Drosophila melanogaster: one gene and its partners. The protein of the gene in region 1 interacts with the protein of each later gene in a pairwise test. Each region holds a gene or a part of one and is shown on either strand. Other genes may lie near its edges.

Region 1 (6,680 bases):
TCGGATTGGCAGACGATCGAATCGAATCGGATTTGTTGGGGGAATATAAGTTTATGTGGTGACTGTGCACCTGGAACAGGATGCCCGTTTGATACTTGTTTCATCTCTCGATTGGATTAAAACGAATGCGATTTGAATGATGTGGCATCTGCATCGGCACGCGAATTCCCTTTTGCTTCTCTGCGCAGTTTTAGGATACTTTTCGGATCCTGCGAGAGCCGAAATCGAGTACAATACCATCAGCGAGGATGGATCTTTTCAGTTTCGGTACATAGATGTGTGACAAACTATAGTGAACATTTTTAAAGGATATTAAGCACTGAAAAAAAAATTGGCATTATGGATTAAATGGATATGCATTTAATTGCAAATGCAACACCCTGTGACTCAAGAAATTTGATGAATAGTTTTTGTTACAATTGCAAAATTTTGAATTTAGTAAAATTTTCAATTTACCTAAAAATGCTTTAAAAGGCAGGATATTTTGACAGAAATTAGTAATTTCCTTCGTAATACGATTATCATAATACCTACATCGACTAAGATTTTTAATAGGATTTTAAAACTTCACAATAAAATTAATTCAGATAACATTGAAATTAATATTTTTCAATTTTCAACTCATTGCATTAGTCATCACAATAAAAAAACTTAACCAAATAACATAATTTACATTAAATAGAATAGAACTTTCATTGTCGTCCAATTTCCTTTTAAAAAAAGGATTAAAAGTAGTTAGTCGCTGAAAATAAGAAATAACCTTCCCCAATTGCGTACAAACTTAGCTGTTTGGTAGAATAATAAACCTTTTGAAAAGAGAACAACTCAATTACAGTTTTTTAGCAGCCATGGGTCATAAATCTAACAAATCATCTAATCGGTCAATGATGTCTGCTACCTTACCATCACCATTACACCCGAGAAAATTTGAGATTTTTAGCACCTCTTTAACGCCTCAACGTTTTGCAACCACAACAATAACACGCTTCCGACCATCTTTCCCTCTCCATTTCGCACGCATGGGGCAACGCAATTACTTCTGTTTCGATGGATCCCACCTGGCATGGATAATGGATATGCTGCTGCTGGTACTGCTACTGCTACTGCTTCCAATCGGCCAAAAGACATGCAAATGATGACATTGGCGGCTACTATCACAGCGCCTCGGGCACTCCGGACAACACGGTGCGAGGTCGCTACGGTTCGCGGAGTCCGGCGAGCGGGCAGATCGAGGAGACGGTCTACACAGCCGGACCACGTGGGTGAGTAATCGAAGACGGTAGCCAAGACTAGTGGGTAAAGTGCGCTGGTGCACTGCAAGAAAATAGTATCATTTTAGAGTGCATATGTGTGGAGAAAAATGCATTTAAAATTGATGATGTCAAAATATGCGTAAAAGAAAAACATAATTTTTAAAATATATGTATTTCAAATGTTTTTAAAAATAATTAGGCAACGATAAGTTCTGTGGGTATACATGACTCGAAGGTAACTTCCTTGAGGAAGGTCGGCGGTTTTTTCCTGAGTGTATTGGCCGCTGAGGAAGTGGCAGCACAAAGTGAGTTATCTCCCCTCGATGTCAGAGTTGAGCTCATATATCAGCGGTTGGCGGCAGGCGGCGGCCACTGAAGCGAAACCCAAACAAACGGAGGGGGATCCATGGAGTTGGAGCCGTTCTAACACATTGGACTGCTTTTTCTGGCGTTGCCTAAACGTTTTTCCATTACCGCTTCGGCGCTACTGTTGTTTTTTGCAATCTCCGGTAAATCGGGGGAAACAAAAAGCTGTTAACAAATTGACTGGCCTGAGAGATTCGAGCCAAAAAAAAAAGAGGAATGGATTGTAGATGGCAGATGCTCAACGATAGCGATGATTCTGAATGGGATCGTTCCCCGAGATGTGTAGTAATCGAAGTAATGGCGTGCCGGGCTAAGATCGAATCTATATTCAAAATTGCAGTGCAAGTCCGCTTCCGCTGAAAGGGTTTACCCAATCCCCACTCATTGTGTCGGTAGCTAATTAATCTCCCTCTATTTCCCACATAGATTTCGCGTGAACGGACCGAAAATCCATCGGAAAATGGACCTGGCTCAGTATCCGGTACTGCCGCGGGGAAGTCCGGACGATCCGCTGGCCGATCCCTTCGACGATCCATCCTACAGCTTTAGTTTTCGCACTCCGGATCAGTCGCGCAGCGAGGAGAATGATTCCGGGAATAGGATAAGAGGCGAGTTTAGCGAGTATGGTACTTAAGAGTATATTAACTGATTCTATCCCAGGTCTGTACTCCTATTTGGACGACGTGGGCGAGCGGCACAGTGTTCGTTATGCAGCTGGAGCCGGAACCGGATTCGAGATCTCCAACGCTGTGCCGGACAGCCCATCTGTTGTGGCGTACTCCAGTCCTCTGTACACGTCCCATCCCAAAGCACGCGGCAAGATGTCTGTGCAAAGGGGGCCGGCTGGAAGCTATAAGCTGATCGCCTCAGGTTCGGATCACCGACGGGCAGAAAGTCGAGCACCCGATGGCCTGGTGCGAGGAACCTACTCCTTCCTGGACGACAAGGGCGTGCAGCGGACAGTGGAGTATATAGCTGGAGCAGGAATTGGCTACCGGGTGGTGCAAAATCGGATTGGTCCTGGAACCCATAACAATCCCTCTGTGGCTGATTTTCGTTTGACAGATCCAGATTTCCGACTGGCTAATGATTTTGGCAGGGGTGCTGGTGGTGGCTTAGGTCCGAAGGGAGGTGGTGGTGGATCAGGTGGGGGAAGTGTTTCGGTAGGAGCTTCGGGGCCAAGTGGTGGTGCAGGTGGAGCGGGAAGGGGCCGTACTCCAAGCAGACCCGGAGGCAAAGATTACCTAAAGCCGGCTGATGGAGCAAGAGATAGGAATCGTGGAGATGGTGATGCTGGGGCAGCTGATGAAAATCTGGGACACCATGCTGATGACCAAGGGGATGACATTGGGCTTGGCAGCAGCTCCTCTGGTTCCACCAACTTTAATGGCAAAGAAGACAGAAGAGGGTTCCCTGCGGGTAGTCCGCAACGGGGCAGTACTAGATACGATGCCGGAGGTGACAGCTCTCAGAGAGGTGGTTCAGGTAGCTCCACGAGAAACAATGTTAGTGGGTCCCGAAACAGAAACCGATTCGGCGGCGTTGGTGGAGTAAGTGTCTCCTCTGAGCGGGGAGCAGGAAGGGGAGGTGCTGCCGGTGGTGGAAGCAGTCGTCGAGGAGGTGGAGCTGGAGCCTCCAGGGAAGGCGACTCCGGCCTGGGCTACCTGCCGCCCACAGGTGGATCGGGCACCAGTGCCATGAGCGGACCCGGGGACAATTACCACCTCAACGATGACGATGTGGGCAGTTCACTGCCTCCTCTGGTCACCGCCAACCACCGAATTCTAGAGATCGACAGGGATCGGGAGTGGGTGCAGCGACACCGCGACTCCACCGTCATCAAGAACGTGGGTAAATGGTACGTGGGCCTGCCGCCTGGTCAAAGTGTGCGTGCCCATGTCCAGAACATCGACATAATACCCTTGGGCGGAAGGATCGGACTTTCGCCGTCGGAGGCACTGCGTCAGGATGAGATCGCCGAGCTGAATGCCTCAAGGGAGCACTAAGCACCCATTGGATCTGTAGATCTGTAGTTTGTAGTGCGTAGCTCTAAGTGATCAGTGTTGAGTAACCGAAACTGGGTTGACTCCACATGGAAACTAAAACAGTATTTAAAGCGGAATACATTTTTTGCCTGTATCTGTATCTCAAACTGTATCTGTATCTCTAGCGAATAGTTATTTGATATCCGTGGATCCGGGTATAAGCAGGTTAATCTGCACATTGCGGTTTCCTTGAATCCACATATAACCCCATGACTTAGCATGCTCGGAGTTTAGTTGTTTCTGAGACTTGAACATGATGTTGGTGCTTTTCATTGCTTCGCTGATAGTTTCCTGTGCTCAAGGAGCGCAAGTGTATATGCAGTTCAATGGACAAGGATACTCCTACAACACGGATGGCGATAGATTGGATAGGAGTGTCGTTAAGCCTAGTTTTGGGGCATCTTCTCTGGATTCCTTTGGTCCGCTGAACTTTGTGCATCAATCTCTGAGGACAAGACAGAATCCACTTTCCCGGATTTCCTACAATACACAGGATAACCTAGCAGTGGCAACATCTTCGCTGAGTGCGGGCTACCAATTAGCATCGACCAACCACCTGAAGCACCGGCAAAGCCAGCAAAACTTTGATTTCAGCACCGACCAGATGTCGCATGCCCAGCACACCGATGAGGCGGGAAATGTTTTGGGCAAGTACTCCTACTACGATGAGGCTGGCTACCATGAGCTGAGCTACAAGGCGGGCGCCGGCATCGGATTCGTGGTCATGGGTGGCAATTTGGCCAAGGCCACCACCGCCGCTGAACCGCACTCGGAAATCGAAATCGGAAACGGAATCCAAACAAATGCCTTGACTAGCCTGCAAGAGTTGCATAAATATCGTGGCTACACGTAAATAAAATATATTAGCCAAAACTATTGCTCGTTCTACTTGGGTGTTTTGCGTTATTTACTGGAAGTCTTTGGAGATCTGACAGTGTCACCTGTCGTGTTTGAGACCTACGTGATCGGGGATCTGAACTGTAAACATATGTCAAAGAATGAATGACTTGTAAAACAGAGTTCATTCAAAGAAAAGAGTGCAGCTTTGCTTGGTTATAGAATGCAAGCAATAGTCAAATATTATCGAGAGCTCTGGATTTCATAACTTCTACGCGGCACAAAATTATCTTTGGATCGGAAGACATTATATTAACATTTATAAATAATGGTGAAATTAAAAAAAAAATGTACGTAAAAATAGATGTCCAAAAATGTATGAATTCTTTTTGTAATTGTAAATCTTGGAATATAATATTATGCTAAATAGGACGGTAGAAAGAATATTTTTCTTCATTTTAAAAAGAAACATAACTTGAGTTCCATAAAAGCGGTCATCGCATTAATAGAAAATTTTCTTGCCTGGACATAATTTTTAAACGTTTTACAATAAAAATGTTTGCATAAAGTAGATAAGGGTAAACATTGTCAGTTTCTGATCGTAAATGATTGTAAGAGCTTTAATTGCTTGTGGCGCGTGCTTTGGCACGATACAACTGCGGCGATTTATGCATGTTATAAACCCTAATTGATTTTCCGATCATAAAAATGGTTATATTCGGTCGCACAAAGTCATTTTACAAATGGACAGTGCATCCCAAAGCCAAATTGAGTCAGCTCTGTGGCTTATTTATTTTTGTTTGGGCAATTTCATGTCGGAAAGGGACCAAAATAATACAGCATTTGAAATGTTCGACGCGTGCGCGCACTTGCCAAATAATTTGAATCGAACGGAAAGCCTTGGCGTCCACGGCGTGGCCTAAATAAAATATATTTCTGGCCGCGCGAAGCCAAGAAAAGCCCATAAGCAATAATAATATGCATATTTGCTAAAACAAAAAGTTATTACATGGGCCAGTTTTGACCGAAAGTTTCACTGCCACAATTAAGTTTTAATGTCAAGAGATCTAAGCGAGTGATTTCCCTGAAACAAGTTCCTACGCACTCGAAAACTTTCTTCGCCGAATGCACTAAAAGAACGTACAGAAGAGCACTAAAAAGCTTGCCATAGCTTGACATAGATTCTATTCGGCCGGGTCTAGGGTTTGTATGGCTGAAATGGCCACGTTCTCAGCGTAGAAATCAATGGCTCACCTGGGAAGTAGCCGAGGTGCATAATTGGGTTAGCGTAGCAGCAGAACGGCCTGCATTGAAACCACAAATTACTGGGGCTCCGGCTCTCCCAGGTGCCAGTTAGCTGTTTCTGTTTATTTTCCCCCTCATAAACAACGGTTTGGGCTGGGATTCTCCTCCTCGCCGAAGGTCAGACTTAATTGGCCCGGGCCTAGGCAACGACATCCCACTAGCAGTCCCGTTTCGCCTGCATTTATAAATAGGCCCCAAGGTCTCTGGGTCTTGGGTCTTCGGTCTTCGGTCTTCGGTCTTCAACTTCTCGACTCGCTCTTCGGCTGCTTGGATTTCAGTTGGGGTTCGATTTATCGCCTTTTGATTGCTGCATTCCAATTGTGGATCAAGTGGTGCGTGTGGCGCATTCGGGGCTTACAACGTGTTGCTGCTAATTTCGTATGCTCCCTTCGGCTCTGCGCACTCGAAACCATAAATCTTGTGGCAATTTTATTGATGCCTGCGTGTGCCACAAAGGTCGACCCCCCGTTCGATGCTGCTTAATCAAGGAATATGCATTATTTCACAGCGCAGTCAGTAGCTGGCTGCTCGGGGCATAAAAGCCAATAAAAGAATAAATTGCAGTTGTATCACAGCAAAGTTAATCACAAAATTAATGGTTCTGGGCTAATAAAGACTGGTCTGCAATGAAAACAAATGACTTAAGGCACGAACCTGAAATCAATTTCTCTGATTTCAGACATTTGTTATTCATGATTATCGATCAAAAACGGTCCGAAGCTAAGTCTTAATCCTGACATCTGTTGATACCCGAGAAGTGTGTGAAGTCTTCACGCCGAAGTGCTTGTCAAATCAAAAAAAAAAAAAAAGAACATGACTCTTGAGTCACTATGTGCGAAACTTTCTAACGAGTTCCAGGCAAACATTTTAATTG
Region 2 (8,576 bases), on another chromosome or scaffold:
CAAAAAGAAACCTAAGCAGTTATGGTTTTTAAAATGGGATTTGCGTCTTTAATTCTGTATGTATCTCACTTGTCATCCACATAGGTGAAACGCATATCCAGGGAGTGTTTGGTAAGGAAGGTGCTAGTTCCCAACGGAATCTCAATGTTCGAAGGATGCGGAATTGGTCGGCCAATGGCCATCAGCAGACGTTCGCCCTTTGCATTGACCACCAAGTGTCCCGTGATGTGAATGACCTGAAAACCCCAATAAGGCATGGGTTAGTTGGTGCTATGGTGTCTCAAACTCATTTAGCTCACCTTATACGAAGCGCTCTTGATGTTGATGCTTCGTCCACGACTGGTCAAGGTGCACTTCAAGCGCACAAACAGATCCCGGTGATGGGTGCTCACTCCAGAGTTCTGCTGCGGCTCATCCTTGACCTTCTGGGCAAGTTCACGCTTTAGGCTGAGAGCCTCCTTGATCTCGGCGTGATCGCACTGGTGCGAGTACTCCCAGATCTGTTGGCCAAGTGTGTCAATCTGCGCAAAGTTGAGAGCAAGTTAGAATCTTCTTCAATGAAGTATTTGGATACATTTACCTTGGTGATGCCCAGATACTCGACTACGTTTTCGGACACGTAGGTGATGTCTCCCTCGTGGGACAAGACCAACAGGAATCCGTCCATGGTCTGTTTGAGGAGCTCTCTGGCCTCAGCTCCGTTGAGCCAATCCTCAGTGCCCACTTCCAGCTTGGGCTTGACTTCCTGCTGATCCTCTGCAGTTTCAATGTCCTGCTTGATGTCATCATTGCAGTCGCGCAAGCTGGGCACTGAAATAAGTAATATATTAGATGGTGCTAACAAAGATTTCACATCCTAAGGGAAACTCACCGAACTGCAGCATTTCGCGAATCTTGAGGAAAGCGATGGTGATCCTCATCACGGAGGCCTTGTCCAGTTGGTTGACATCGTCGGTTTTCAATGGCAAAGCAGCCGAGAGTTCCATGAATATCTCTGTCTCCTTGGAGCGACGACATCTAGCCGCATCGCGAGACTTTTCCTTGCGTTTTTCATTGTTCCTGCAAAGATCGATCGGATGGAAAATTAGCATAAGCTCAAAACGAGCACGTACGCCAATGATCAGTGGGAAAAGGGGGGATCTAGCACGGGGGAGGCTGCCTGAAATATGCGTGCATTTGCATGGCTGCACTTTTATACCCGTTTGATTGCTTCTGATTCAATTCACGCGGCCAGAGCTCGCAATTTTTCAATTAAGCAAAACGCTTGTAATTTTCGCGTTTGTTGCCAGGTCGAGCGAAAAAACAAAAGTCGATCGACACGGCGCCAAAGTTCTCGGCAGCTATTCCTAGCCGTCTTTTCGAAAAACACTAACTAATAACAAATAAATAAATAAAGATGAAGATCAAAGTAAATGCTGGTAATCAAAATACTACTGCAGAACAATAAATTATATTCAATTCTAATAAAGCCTCATATCTGAAAAGAATCTCAATGTCGCGACTTTGTAAAAGTATTTTTCTTTTCAACGATGCTGATAAGGAATTTCTACGCATTCCTCATCTACAGAGTCTTAAAAAACATTCGAAATAAATCCAATATTGCCTAGAGGATCCTGACATACAGAGACGACCTCCCTTGGGATGGATACCTGTGCATTCCGAGCTGGCAGAAGAGCCCGGGGACTTAGATAGTTTATAACGTCTGTTTCGGATTCCGAGAATAGCCGGCAGTCACACGTTCCACTGATAAAAAGTGGCTAAGTTGCCTTGGCACCAATTTTCGTGGTGGTGGTCTTTTGGAATATTTCGCCAGGGGATTGACAAAACACCGATGATTTGGCAATTAGCGACTCTGCAGAGTTAGTTGTCTTCGCTGGATGAGTAAGTCCCATTTAAACCCTGGGTATCGACTCGTCTACATTGGCGACGTGTTTTAATCGGCAACCAAGCAGGCAAATCGATCGTACACACTTGTAGGACGACAGAGCACTGACCTCACACACACGACTGACACTATCTTTATGCCAATACGAGTATATTGCGGGAAATTCTAAGAAAAGACGGATGGCCCTCCCGCGGGACTGCGGAAAAACTGTAGTCTGCCAAGAAAATCTCTTGAGTAGCCGCATGCAAGAACATAACTCGTGGCTCTTAATATTTTCTTTATTATCGATATAGTGGGCGAACTTGTATAATCCACGGGTGACGCCCATTTCAGCACGTATGTACATTTATTTCCTGGCATTTTGTTCAAAATTTGCCAACGCTGCTTTATTGATCCGCTGGGATGAAAAAAGACCTGAACACGTCAGGTGGTTCACTTGGGAAAATCTGCCCGGTAACAACGCGAAAATATCAAACTTTTTTGTTAACAAACCCTAAGTACCGCCTGTCAACGGAGGAGTCGCAATCATCAAAAGTCCATCATATCAGCCGACAAAGTCACAGTACAATATGATCTATTGTCAGTCTGCCGCCTGTCTAATAATGGCTTAAGTATCTATTAAAAACAGTATTCCCGTTTTCTTTTACTGTAAGTAAATAAATTGAATAAATCGAAGCAAACTACTTAGTTGTTGAACATAATCTTCTATTATGACATATTTAAATATGAGATAGGACCCCACTAATCGATCGATTGTAAACAGAGGAAATCTTAACATAAACAAATGCTAAACTTGACTTTGCACTCGAAAGAATTTCTATTATTAAAAGAGTATTCTGAACGCCCAGATAAAACGTTGATTAGGAAACTCTGTGAAAGTGAAGAAACAATGCATTCAAATAAATCAAAAATAAATAAAACAGAAACCAGTTTAGATAAGAGGGCTTTTCATTGTCAATCAACCAACTGATGGATGGAAACCAAAGTTTGAAGCGAAACTCGAATGGCTGCTCAAATAATTATTATATAGTATTATATTACTTCGCCAGCAAAGTGAATACTAATATAGGCGTAGACCCGTGGATTTCTATATATATTATATATGCATTAATAAACACAAATCCGATAGTTGCTAGCTCGTGGCCCATAGAAAGCGGCGGAGAGTGACTTTGAATTGCATGCTAATGGCCTGCTTAAATGGTGGGATATTCGCCGGGGGGGTGGGGTTTTGGTTTGGGAGGTATGCACATACATATATATATTTTCGATCGGCCCCATTGTCTGTTCATTAGAACAGAGGCAAGTACGGCATGTTAAATATTCTGCCTGCGCCAGCAGAATTGCCTTGTTATTGCCGCTGGTGCTGCTGCTGTTGTTGTTGCTAAGTATTTCCGCTCCAAAGCAGCTCAAAACACTGAACAAAATTAAGCTATAATATTGAAAGCACACCTTAATATGTGTACTACCCTTCCGTATGATGATTATAATGATGTAGTATGCTGATCTTAAGATACCATTTTCCGCACTTTGTGTATGAAATGAGTTTGAATATGCAAACACCACGATCGCCGCACGTGGCCATCTAAGTCCTGCTGGCTTATCCGACAACACCTTAGGATACTGACCCGCTGTTGTTTGAGTTTGAATTGCGAGCATTGCGAAATGTTGGCCAAGCTACCTCCAAGTGCGCCGTATCTCCGGGCGAGATATCAGCGAAAACACATAAAATACGACTCGAAGTGCTAATGCCAAGTTCATGGGACAGTAAATCGAGGCGCAACAGCGGGTCAGGGATGTTTGGTCTCTTCTTGGGAGCACCATATTGTGGGTGGAGTTCTTCGGGCAGCGCCGTCCTGCAATTGCGTCAGTTTGGTTTCGGCTCATTAGCATGGAGATGGGCCAGCCGAATTTGGCTTAAACGTGTGCAAAACGTAAATAAACCAAATCCGACTACCATTACGAAAACATTTGCTTGCTGCGCACGTTGCATGCAAAGTTTTCAAGGAGGTGAAGTCCAGGGAAAGGGGCTGTAATCTGCGTCAATCGCCAGATAATCGTATACATCAACCAGATGGATTGTGAAACCTTCAGCAGACCCCTAACGATAACTCCTTGGGAAATACCCCACATAAAATCATCGGCGGCAGATAACAATTACACAACAGCACAACTGACAAGCAATTTACTATTTCCACGCAACAATCGAAGTGAGAGAAAAAGTCTTTTCCAGCCCACAATCTTATAAACGGTACCTCTCTTGGGAATAACCCACCGAACCTTGACTCATACGACACCTCTCTCGCGCCATAGTTCCGTCCCCCTCGCCCTATCTTTTGCTGCGTATCTAAATATTATTATAAAAGCGATTCACAAATAAGCATAGATAAGTGCAGCGCCGTTTGCTTTCGGCTCGGGTTTTACAATGGAACACGGCCAATTTTCTAGGAGCTCAGCTCGTTCAGGTGCCTCCAGGAAAATGTAAATCGCTAGCGGCATTCGGCCACCGATTCTAACTGGTTTTTGTTTTGTTTACTTGAATGAGCTAGAGCTCTCCACAGTTATGTAACAACAATTATTAAGCAAAATTGTGTAAATATTCGTACTTGAATACTATTTGATAATGAGATTAAGGAATACCCTTCGTGAAAAACGCAAAATCACAGAATTACCCAAAACAACAAATTGACCAACCACTTTGGTCGTCACTCACATGAAATCCTCGATGTCGACAAACTGGGAGAACTGGCAAGGTTGAGTGTTCGTGGGCGCGTAGCCATAGCAGTAGGCGTAGCTCCAGGGGCGGCTTTCGCGACAGGGCGTGGCCACGTTCAGAAGCGATCCCCTCTGGCGATAGAAGGCGTCCTGGGGCTGCTGCTGATGGTACGGATGGTACCTTTGCATCCCAGTGGAGGACATATTGGGGCCGAGCATAGCGCCCACGAAGGGTTGGCTTCCGGGAGCAGGGCCATTGTAGAATGACCCGTTGCCAAAGTTCACAGTGGGTTCATTGATGGGCATTGGCCCAAAAGCTGGGCCATTTCTGCTCAGCTGCCGCTGCCGCTGCGGCTTGGAATCGCACTCGTAGAAACTAGAACCGGGGATCACATCTTCGCCGTAGAACGAAATGTCGCCGGTACACGAAAAATCGCAGCTCTCGAAGGAATTAAACATTGAGTGCGCTGGAATCCGGCTAAGCCCATCGATGATGAACACACACACGCGTGCGATAAGAGCTGATAGTGTTTTGATTTGGCCACAACTTCACTGCTCCGGATATTTTGGTAGAACACGACGTACGGGAGTTCGAGCGCTAAATGAGCGAAAGGTTCCATAGCCTCGAAGCCATCATATTTATACCTGGGCAGCCGCACCAAAAAAAATCGCAAAAGAGCGGAGAGCCGACGTGAACGTCATATTCCGTGTGCTATCAGACAAGTTTGCCTATCCGGACAAGTGCGCTCCGGCCGGAGTGATAAGATAAAGTCCGGTCCGCCCGCCTCGTAGAAGCATTCAGGTGGCAGGGAGCCAGCGCTTCGGTTCTGCCCAATGGGACGATAACAGCGAATCGAGTGAGTGGCGGATTCAAATTAGAGCCATATAAATTATGTCAGTGCGCCCCACTTCAGTCGATAATTGGCTCGGACCATATAGTCTACTTTGCAGCGACGCCGGAAAATTTCCGCACGTCCAGGACCCATTTTCCGCCCATTTCCCTCGCTCACAAAGTGCAGTGCACGGCAAAGTCATGTTATAATTTTAGAATCTCTGCACCGAGAAAACAGTGCCACTCACTTCGAAGTGAAAATTTGATATAATATTCCAAAATTTTGAGTATTTAACCGCAGAACTGATGAACCATTTTTAGGTATTTCGAAAACTAACCAAAATTCGCACACACAAAATGAGAAGAAATATTAGAGAATTGATCTTTTTCACTGTGCGAGAAAAGCTGCTTGGATGACTAAATACTATCAGACTTATCCATGATTTCCCTAGTCGGCCGATAAGAACTATAACATAGGAGTTAAATATTTGGATTAGTTTGGCAAACAGCACGGAAAGTGAAACGAGATAAGGGAAGCTAGTTCCCCAGACCAAGCAAACGTAATCAAATCGCAATGTAATCAGCTCGTGGAGAAGGCAAAGGAACAGGCAGGGTCAACTTAAATCACTACGATAACCCCTTGTTTACCTGTTTATGCTACACCCGTCTATCACTAAACTATTTCGATGTTTAAATGTATTTCATATAAAAAAACAGTAAAAGTAGTTATTAACATTGTGAGCTTCTTGGGCTTCTCTTTTTGCAGATTGCCAGGAGTCCTTGTGATCGTTAGCTATGGTCTCATCTTGCATCATTCAAGGACTATCTTATAGAAGGTCTGTCAATCCTTTAGGTTGCTACAGTAACACCCGACGACGACCAATTAATTCGAAAGATGTCGTAAGAAGTTCATTGAGTTGTGGCAAGACCAGTGGTTAATACTTAATCCAAAGGAATAGCTGTTTACAACAGAACATCGTAAAGATCTTATCCATTCCCAAGAAAGAAGTTCCTTTGTTCTTGTTAATGTTGTTAGCAAAAAAATGACTTCCAAACAGGTTTCGCAATAATCTTAATCCGAAATTTTTGCTCATTTCACAAAACCTGTGGGGAATTTTCAGCGACTGATTCCAATTTATCGCCTTAAATATAAATTTAAACTTTCCCTGCCAGCAATTGCCGAATCATAACTTACACCGAATGCGATGCATATAGACCTCACACGCAACTGAACAAACGAAAAAGATTCGGAAGCTGCGCTACCTTCACGCTGTCTCCCTCACTCCGCTTATATACGTCTCTCTCGCTGCATCAAGTTCAATTTCATACAGAGAAAGAAAATTAATAGACAAATATATTGAATATGGTACAGTAAGACTAATTTATCTTTTTCTAAGAGAGCGACTGAACTTCGGATTTTACTATTTGAAATTTGATTACCAGTTATTTTTTTCAGTGCTCCAGTAGCAAGCAAGAGTGTAAGCATGTAAGGAGAAGAAGGAGAAGATCAACAATAACTCCACGAGCCTAATACTTGAATACAATGCCATCCATCTTTCTCTTTCTCCCTACATATACAATATATATGTAGTAGCACCATAACACCCCCTCGGGCGTTTCCATCCTCCCCGGATCGTCACATTTTTAGTTCGATTGCGCAAAAAGTAGGTCGTCGTGGCCAGACATGAAACAACAACAACAACAACAATAACAACAGCAGGGCATATCATTTAAATATTTTACAATACACACATGCTTGTGTGTAAGCGTGTTTTACTTTTGTGCGTTTCTCTGCGTTGGTATTGAAATTTATTTATTGCCGACTTGTTTTTAAGTTTATTCATTAGCTTCTTGGCGCAGGCCTAACAGCTTATAGAAATAACGTAAATAGAAAAACAAACATGAAAAATCTTGATTCAGATTCTTTCCTCCTCCAAATTCCGCCAACCAAGTCAACTTGTAATAATTCACTTTTATTGAGGTCACACCGTAGCTGCAGTTACGATCTGTTCAAGATCGCGTGTGCTGCAATCGAAAGAGTCGACCGATAGGCAAAAGGTTAGCGATGAACAATCGGAAAAATCGATGTTCAAAATGTTTGGGAAAATGCAATAAGACAATCTAAATTGACGTATTTCACATGGTGAGACGACTTAAGTCAATTGTTTTCATGTGTCACACTGCAAAATACATTGGAACCAGTTTGGAACAAATGGGAAAGACTCGATTTGTCGGTCAATGGGTCTAATCGAAGCTAGAGCGCATTTTGAAAATGGTTATAGAACCGCTTTTCGGCTTTTCCACACTTATTTTACTGCAGTTTTACGGTAGTCACGTAGGCCAAAGCGAAACTTTGTTTCAATCCAATGTAAATGTCTTGAGTGAAACATAAACTTATCGGTTTATGGGCTTATAAAATAAATAAATTTAAGTATTCGGAGGGGCGTGGACCAAAAACGAAAATAAAACAAAGCCAACAAAACGAAACACGAGGAAAAAAAACGGGTTGATCTTGGAGCAGGGGGGGCAGCATAATCGAACAGGTTTTCCTCATTGTGTTTTGGGTTTTCGCCTCACTTAAAAATAACCCATAAGTGCGTAAGGAAAAAGAGAACAATGCACTCGTCTAAAAATAAATCGCATTCAACGGGGGGGCTTGTCTTTGTGAGCCCTTTAAGGATAAACCTTCTCAAGATAGCAACAAGTGTTTTCAGGCCTCTCTTCTTGCCGCAATGGGCACTCATTCTCCTATCGTATACCCCCTAGATATCATATTCCACAGCGGAAACCAACCATGCATATGCAAACTGAACGATTTCGGTTCGTCTCGACTTTTGTCTTTGAAAGCCTGAAGGTCGCGGGTCTCGGCCATTGGATTCGCCGTCGCCATCGATCGTATAATAATTGCCGCGAATGCAAAAATTAGTTGAACGCGTGATTAATGATTGGCTTTCCATTATATCCCAATGCCTGTTTCGTCAATTAGTGACGCCCATTGAGGGAAGTTCACAAATTCCAGCCAGGCGGGAATTGAAATTCATTAAGTGAAATGCAATTCGCTCCCGTAAGGGTTAAAAGCGCTCTTATTTTTGGCTCAAAATCAGGCAGTAAGGTTGACTCATCTATAAGATACTGATTGCATACGAA
Region 3 (7,939 bases), on another chromosome or scaffold:
TATACGGCAACCGGATCGGTTAAGAAGCGTCAGTAAATTAGCAAATATGTGACTTGGCCATTGCGAGAGTCTGATGAAAGCTGGGCGCAAACGTGAAGCCGAGGGCTCAGACCACCGGTAAACACCAGGGCCCCAGCTTCATTGAAGGCGTGTCCGTGGGGACCCAAAGCACCACTTTTTGGTTTCAATAATCTGAGACTTTTTAGGATTCAAGACAGCCCAAGGAATGCAGTTATAAGTGATACCGTGGACCACCCCGGTTATGTAAGCCAGCTGATTTTTGTCGCTGTGCAGACCTAAGCCAATGGGCCGACTGTTTACTCCAGGGCGCCCCTTTTTGGCCAATGGCCAAGACCAAGACCAAGTCCAAGTACGAGTTTCTCTCTCCGCGACGCCAACGTTGACGGATGACGACGTCGCCGGAGCGGCGCTGCCGAAAAAAAGGCAGACCGAAATGAACATGTTCACTTAACAAACAAGTTGACTTTGTTTCCCCGCCGTTCTCTAGATTTATGCGGCTGCGTCTGTGACTCTTTTTTTGGGCCCTGTCTCCAATTCGGAGTTCGCTCTTTTCGCGTCTTGGCCATAACTTCCGCCGTCTCTCGCCGGGCTTTATTTAATTTACTTTTGAATTGTTTTGTAATGCGCACCGACTGCGACGCCGACCGAGAGGCCCAATATATAAGGCTAGATGTCCGGAGACGCATACATCAAACTCATCTCAGCGCTCCCTCAGAAAAGCAGCAGCCCGAAGCCCAGAATTGAAACCCCGGATCAGCTATATTAGCAAGGATTAACCGCGTCTAAATACCAATCGATCGAAAATGAAAGTGTTTGCCATCGCTTGTGTGACCCTCTTGGCGGCCAGCTGCGTCTTTGCCGCGCCCAGTGTTCAAGACAACCAGGTCGAGGGCGACAATACCCTGGGCCGGGCCGCCCGGTATCTGGGCGCCTGTCTGGAGAGCGACGACATGGCCACCTGCCTGGCCGTCAAGGGCATCACCGCACTCAACCGCGCCGCCAGGAGCAACAACATCGAGCTGGCCAGTGGAGTCACCTTCCAGAGGTGTGTGTTTTTTAACAGTGAAAGTGCCTGGTTCTTGAAACAAAAACCAAATCGAAAGCGAAACTGTAACCAAAAGAAGAACGTGCCCGAGATGAAATCTTCAATCCGTGTTAGTTAAAGTAGTGATTGCATCACAAAAGTTGACTAGGAAAGATACTTAAAATGAAATTATGATATCAAGATATGTAGGCAATTAAAAATAAGTTTAGAGAAATTAGTTATTAGATAGTTATATTCTGATACCCATTTTTTATGGTCTTTATAGATTTAAATGGTGAGCCAAGGCTAAGGCTAAAAACACTTCATAATTAATGTTAATTATTATTGGAATTCTTACATAATTCCAAAAATTATGACAGTAAATTTAAAAGTGGTATAATAAGACATTAGAGGCATTCGGCATATAAGTTGTCATAAAAGTTAAGTAAATGTGAAAATGTATTTATAACTTACAATATCATTTTAGGGATCCCGCCAGTCCCGTTTCCCGCACGGGAAAATCGATGAGCGAGCAGGATGTCTATGCCGAGCTGCCCCAGAATGCCGATGAGCGTACTGGTCGTCTAGTGGATCTGGCCGTCTCTAGTGCCGCCGACTTCCTAAGCACCCACAACCTGGAGTTCAAGCTGCCCGCCGAGACCACCCAGCAGGTGGCTCGTGCCCTCGATGAAGGTGGGTTTTGACTTGGGATACGATAAAACATGGTTACCTAACATCCAATCACAGGCCGTGGCAAGATCAAGAAGATGCTGGGACCCGTGGCTCTGGCCATTGGCGCCAAGCTGTTCGCCGTCATTCCCCTGGTGCTCGGGTTTCTGGCCCTGCTGACCTTCAAGGCCGTGATCGTGGCCAAGCTGGCCTTCTTCCTGGCCATTCTGGTCGGCGGATCCCGCCTGCTGGGCGGATTCGGCAACAAGTTCGGAGGTAACTCCTTTGCCGGAGCCTACAACTCGAACGCATGGTCCGCACCCGCCAGCGCCGGCTGGAGCTCGGGAGCCTCCTCGTCCTATCCCTATGCCCGCAGCATCAGCGAGGATGGGTCCGATGCCCAGCAATTGGCCTACGCCGGCCAGCAGCAGCAGTAGAAGCGGCTGGGAGACAGCTCAAACAGATGTGCCTTCGTTTTGAAACCTTTAGCCTGTAGTAATTTATTCGAAATGTAATTAACTAATTTATTGACACACCACGCACACATCACCCGCAAGTCAAGTCGAATGTATGAATAAAACCAAGAGTATTGCACCCGAAAAAAATATAATCCGCAAATCCACGCACGTGGACAGTGCTCACCTGTGCCCAGAGACTTTCCCAGTTTCCCAGGGCTTAATTGAAATGCTGACAGACCCCAAAACAAATATGTGGAACTTTGCTCGCTGGGCGGCAACAAGTTTGCGGCTGGCAATTAAAACTTGTGGCAGGTTCTGTTTCTGAACACAAAAAAAAACCCAAAAGAACACAGAAAATGTTGAGAAAAAGAGCTGATAAGCTGGGGATTTAGTTTTTGGCAAGTTGGTGGCCTGCTCATAATTGGAGTTTCTAGTGGCCATGTGACGGCCGTTCGGCATGTTAATTGTTTGCCAGAAACTTTCTACTTATGCTCATAAAAGTGTCACTTTGCGATTGAAAAGAGATATATGCGGCGATGTGCTACAATTCAGCTTTCTTTCACAGGCAGATTTAGAAGCAATTGAAATAGAAAACAAGCCACGAACGACAGTTGACAAAGGGAGAATGAAATCGAAAGCGTTGAAAGCGCCAGAGTAACTAACTGGGCCAAATTGTGCATTAAGTCACCACCGGCGGGGCATACCAAATACGTGTGGGTCTCGCAGATCCACCACTATATTCTCCGCTCCATCGTGAGCCCTGATGGAGCTAATGGAGAGGAACAACCGGCCAAGAATCTGGCGCAGGCAATCCCAACACGTAGCACCGGCGACTCCATTGAATGCCAATTAGGATACGGATAACGGTCGAGCACCCGAAATCGGGCCACTTGCTTATATAAAATATATGTATGGTATATACAAAAAAATAATATTCAGCCGGCCGACCACTGGCCACTTCCCTTTCGTTGACATCGCGACGTGCGTGGAAATATGGTCAAGAAACTGCCGGCCAGGTAGCATACGCATATGCTTTGCATAAATTGCTTTTGGATTTTTGGTATTGCCGTTCGGTATTGTTATTGTTATTGCAGCGGCGAGCGGTGCGTTTTGGATTTTTGGCCTGCCACGCGATTTCTAGCCACAAAATTGGTCAATCGACGTCAAATCGAAATGGTATAAAACGCGGGGGCAGTGCATTCAATTAATCACAAAGCGATTCCCGTTCACATCGGCAGCACTCACCAGCTCCAGGCAGCCGTCCCACGGATTATAACCTACCCAAAGTCAAGACACCCCCAAGTGCTAATAAAAATGTGCGCGAAATTCGTATGTGTAGTGCTGCTGGCCAGCCTTGTGTGCGGTTCCATGGCCCTTCCCTCCCAGGACAACACCGAGCGGGACCTGGTCAACATGCTGAACCGCTTAGACAGCGAGGAGTCCGTCGCGCTGTTCGGCGGTCTGAGGATCGACCGGTCGGAGTCGGGCCGTAGCTTCGGTGCATCCAAGGCCGTCGAGTCCTTCGAGGACCGCGCCGAGCGCTACCTGGAGACCCACGAGCTAAACCTCTCCTTCTCCGGCGATGAGCAGGACGAGAACTCCGAGAACGAGTACACCGGACGCGCCATGGATGGTGAGTGATCTTGGTTTCCTTTATTTGAAAAACAGAATATAGTTTAATCCAAAGAAAAAAAAGCTATTTAAGCTACTTGCTTTTAAAGTTTTCATATTGCGTTGAATATCTTAGATACTTAATATTAGGTCAGAATTTAAAAATTTGTATGTTTTTGAGAGACATAAATCGATAGAATGGTAGTAAATACGTGAGTTGATAGCCAAAGAATTTTGAAATAATTTTAAACGAGTTATAAGTTACATTTTTATTAATTACTACAAAAACAGAGGCATTCGTGCGCATACGAGAATAGCTTTGGTAAACCGTCCTGGCTCTCAAGTCGTTCCTGTTCTGTACGGTAAACGAACACTTCAAAGTCTACTTACTAAGGCTAAACGTACTAAGGTCCACTCTGCTGTGCAGAAAGCCAACTGCCAAAAGCAAAACTACTAGCATACTCAGTTGTGCTGACGGGAAGCGAAGTGAAAGCTTTACCTCGACTGCCAGGCCTTGAATACTTTTAGGAGCATGGCTAAAACCCCGATTTCTCTTTACTTTCTCCCTCCCGGAATAAACAGAGTCCCGCAGCAAGCGCATGAAGAAGATGCTGCTGCCCCTTCTTTTGGCCCTGAAGCTGAAGAAGGCCGTCGTTGTCAAGATTATGTTCACCATCATCAAGTTCATCTCGCTGAAGGCTCTGGCCATCTCCTTCCTGGCCCTCATCCTGGCTGGTGAGTTTACTTTTAATGATCTCAGGAATAGCACTTTTTACCCACGTTTCCCGCACAGGTGCCACCTTCTTCAAGGATCTGTTGGCCAAGAAGAAGGAACACATCACCACTGCCTACATCACCGGCAGCCCGCTGAACGCCGACATCGTGCACTCCGACTGGAGCCGCAATGGTCAGGCAGGTGCCGCCGATCTGGCCTACAACCACTATGGTCTGGCCCAGCCCTTCTAAGCCGGAAAACACCCACCGATCCATCCATCCCACTCTGTACTAGCCTCTATCTTTCACCTGCTATATCTTATCCTACCAAAGCGTCTCCCTTCTTCAACTTCCCCCCACTTCATCACCATTTCCACAACCTATCCCTCTAAGACTTTCCTGAAGAATGGCCTAATTCGTAGTCAATAATTATTTAGTTACATTTAGTTAGTTAGCTGCGACATACCAAAAAAAATCACAAAAAAAGAGAACTATTGAAACGGTCCCTCGACTCTTGGCTAGCCCAAAGGACAATGCTTAAGGATACTACGGCCAATCAATGATTGCGCCATAATTATTGCACATTTCCCCATCCACATGTCTCTTGGCGGTCGTACATGTCACTCAGGTTCATCGAAAGCAACGAAGATTATGCCTGCTAAAGAGCTTACTTACTAAGTATTTATTCGTACAACTTAAAGCAATTGAATAAAAATGATTCATCAAATGCAAAACCATAGAATCTTTAAACTTTTTGCCCGAGTCGGAAACTTTGGAAATGTACAGGTATTATACTTTTAAAAAGGCAATGACTTGTATAATTTCCGGCTCAAAGCTTCCTTATTGAGTCTCAAAGGTATTTTCTGAAAAATCACTAGGAAGAGTGTGAGCATCAAGCTGGAAAGTGAAATTAGTGGCTTTTACTTAAACACTTTCCTTGAACCTCTTGCAAAAACAAATCCATTGAAGACACATTTCCACTTAATTATATTAGCAAAGTTGAGTTTGGGCCCGTGGCTTTCTTTGCGTCAACTTCCTAATTGATGTTTAATCAAATGTCCCACTTGGCGTTGGTATAAAAACACCACTCATGCTGACCAAAAGTCAACAGAATCAATATGAACGGCTTAAGCAACAAACTCATTGGCTGTCAGATTAAATTCGCCTTGATTGTTGGCCTTTTGGTATCCTTGGCCTGGGCACTTCCTGTCGAGGATGATGGAAAACCCCTCATAACTGAAGATGATGCTGTGAACACCGAGCAGCCAATCGAAGCTGCCCCTGTGGTTGAGGAAGTGGAAAATGTTGGACAGCTCCGATTCCCGCCTTTCAATAACAATGGAACCAAATTGTTCGAAAGATTTGGAGAAAAATTCAGGAACAAGTGGACCACAACTACAACCACAACGACACAGAGTACATCAGGATAAGCTTCATAAGAAAAATTAAAAGGATCAACACACAAAAGATTGTCACATACTTCACATAAATATTTATTTAAATTCATTTTATTATGCCCGAAATAACTTGTCTTATCTTTACAATAAAAATACAACGTATAAAAGCATATAAGAGTATGTTGAAAACAATATTTTTGTCAACAAAAATGTTTTAATAAAATTAAAAACACTGTTTTTAAGTGAGCACTGTAGTAGTCTAGTAGATTGCATAATCGTTCCAAGCACCCACTATAAGCTCAGATTGGGAAATAAGACACCTGCTAGGCAAAAAGCGAAAATCAAAAGTCGACCAACCAATTGGTCATTAGCACTGCATGTAATCTGAATATTAAACAGGTCGTTCTCGGCGTGGAAAGATAAATTTCTTCATGGCCAATACGAGGAAAGAAAGTAGCGAAACGACGCTGGGTCAGACACAAATGAAAATGAAGTAATAATTAACAATGAGTTGTTAGTTAGTCCCAGTTAGGCAGGCAAAATGTTGGGTCTTAATTTATGAAGGTCCGAGGCACGCGACGTTTATCAGGCACTTGTAATTACCTGAACTCCCGAGTCTGGGAGAGTTTTCTTCTCGGACTCTTGGGGAATTCATTGGCTGGAACTTTTGGTGACAGAATTAGCCGGCCGTTTCGCAAGACCGACCTCCGCTGGCGCAGAGGAAAGCGAAAGTGCCGCCCAGTTGGACGCAGCTGACTGACGCTGGGAAGAATTTCGACCACAAATCGTTTGAGTAATTAGAAAAGCACAAGGGCCCCAATACGGACGGAGTACGGTTTGGTGAAAGGGAAATGCGAATGGAAACCGTGGCAGCGGGTATAAAAGCGAAGGCCTTCAAATCGAGATGATGCAGACTCACAAACAGTCTCCATTGCAGTAGATAGCGAAGATGTTGCTGACCAAGACCGTGAAATATCTTTTTTACTTGGCCTTATTCGCCTTCATGTGCAAATATGCCACGGCTGCCAGTGTCCAGCCCACCGAAGTGCCTGCAGTTGCTCCGGAAACCATTAGAATACCCCAAAGGGCAGAGAGCCTTCTCAGTGGCTGTGAAGCATCTTCCTTCAGTTGGATGTGCCTCAAGATCGAGTTTGTCAAGATCATGGAAAAGCTTGCCGAACAGGAGGAACTAAACGTTTTGCCAGGAATCAGCGTGGTCAAGGATGAGAACGCCACCGAACTCAAGACATCGGAGCTCATGGCAGGTATGTTCTTGAAAACACAAAAATAAAGACAAAAAATTTTAACTTTCGACAATATACAGAAGTTGCTCGCAGCTATCCCAGTGACCCGAGCACTCGCTTGAATGGCTATATAGTAGCCAAACTGGAAAACCTTCTGAGAACGCGGTTCCTACGATTTCGCCTGCTGGATGACAAGTCCCTCGTAGAAGGTCGCAAGCACAAGTTCGGCAAGAAAGGAGGCTTGGAGGCCCTAGTGGCGGCTGGAGTCATGATGAAGGGAATGCTTATGGCCATGGGCCTCGGGGCCATCGCTCTGATGGCCGGAAAGGCTCTGATGACAGCTTTAATGGCCTTGACCCTGTCTGGAGTCCTCGGTCTAAAGAGCTTGGCCGGTGGCGGGGGAAAGTCCACCACATACGAAATAGTGGCTAAACCAATTTACACCTCCAGCCACTCGCACTCGGTCACTCACGAAGATGGAGGTCACTCCCACAGTCCCCACTTTGCCGCAGGAGGTGGGGGTGGTGGTACTGCCAGTGGCTTTGGCTACGGAGGATATGCGAGGTCCCTGAAAGTGGATCAATCAGCGAACAAAATCTAATAATTTTAGAAAAGAACCGACAGTATCATTACCTAATAACTAATTAATTTATTGTACTTTAAGAAACACAATACTCAGCAAACTCAGCATTGTTTTTGTTTTATTGTGTGAACAGAACAGTTAAATAGACGTTGCCGATCTTCCAAATAATCATTAGTCAGATTTTATTTACTTTTAATATGCCCAAGGTTTTTATAAAC

What was found. The genes of interacting proteins can lie anywhere in the genome.
Region 2: the proteins of CG13022 (region 1) and sima interact in a two-hybrid assay, tested with the Drosophila melanogaster proteins (one large-scale study listed by BioGRID).
Region 3: the proteins of CG13022 (region 1) and Osi15 interact in a two-hybrid assay, tested with the Drosophila melanogaster proteins (one large-scale study listed by BioGRID).

Annotation. Positions count from the first base shown.
Region 1 is NT_037436.4:16,936,183-16,942,862, reverse strand, and holds CG13022 (uncharacterized protein), read left to right. Parts: upstream 1-3,910; 5' UTR 3,911-3,920; coding exon 3,921-4,517; 3' UTR 4,518-4,533; downstream 4,534-6,680. Other genes in the region: Cpr73D (cuticular protein 73D), read left to right, coding at 140-267, 1,125-1,262, 2,046-2,227, 2,280-3,625.
Region 2 is NT_033777.3:30,059,558-30,068,133, reverse strand, and holds the start of sima (uncharacterized protein), read right to left. Parts: upstream 5,213-8,576; 5' UTR 5,057-5,212; coding exon 4,596-5,056; intron 1,060-4,595; coding exon 872-1,059; intron 811-871; coding exon 581-810; intron 522-580; coding exon 300-521; intron 237-299; coding exon 70-236; intron 1-69. UniProt on the Drosophila melanogaster protein: Functions as a transcriptional regulator of the adaptive response to hypoxia. Binds to core DNA sequence 5'-[AG]CGTG-3' within the hypoxia response element (HRE) of target gene promoters.
Region 3 is NT_033777.3:6,298,427-6,306,365, forward strand, and holds Osi15 (osiris 15), read left to right. Parts: upstream 1-3,377; 5' UTR 3,378-3,486; coding exon 3,487-3,805; intron 3,806-4,365; coding exon 4,366-4,518; intron 4,519-4,576; coding exon 4,577-4,749; 3' UTR 4,750-5,227; downstream 5,228-7,939. Other genes in the region: Osi14 (osiris 14), read left to right, coding at 825-1,066, 1,533-1,738, 1,793-2,151; CG46396 (uncharacterized protein), read left to right, coding at 5,616-5,927; Osi16 (osiris 16), read left to right, coding at 6,844-7,159, 7,219-7,739.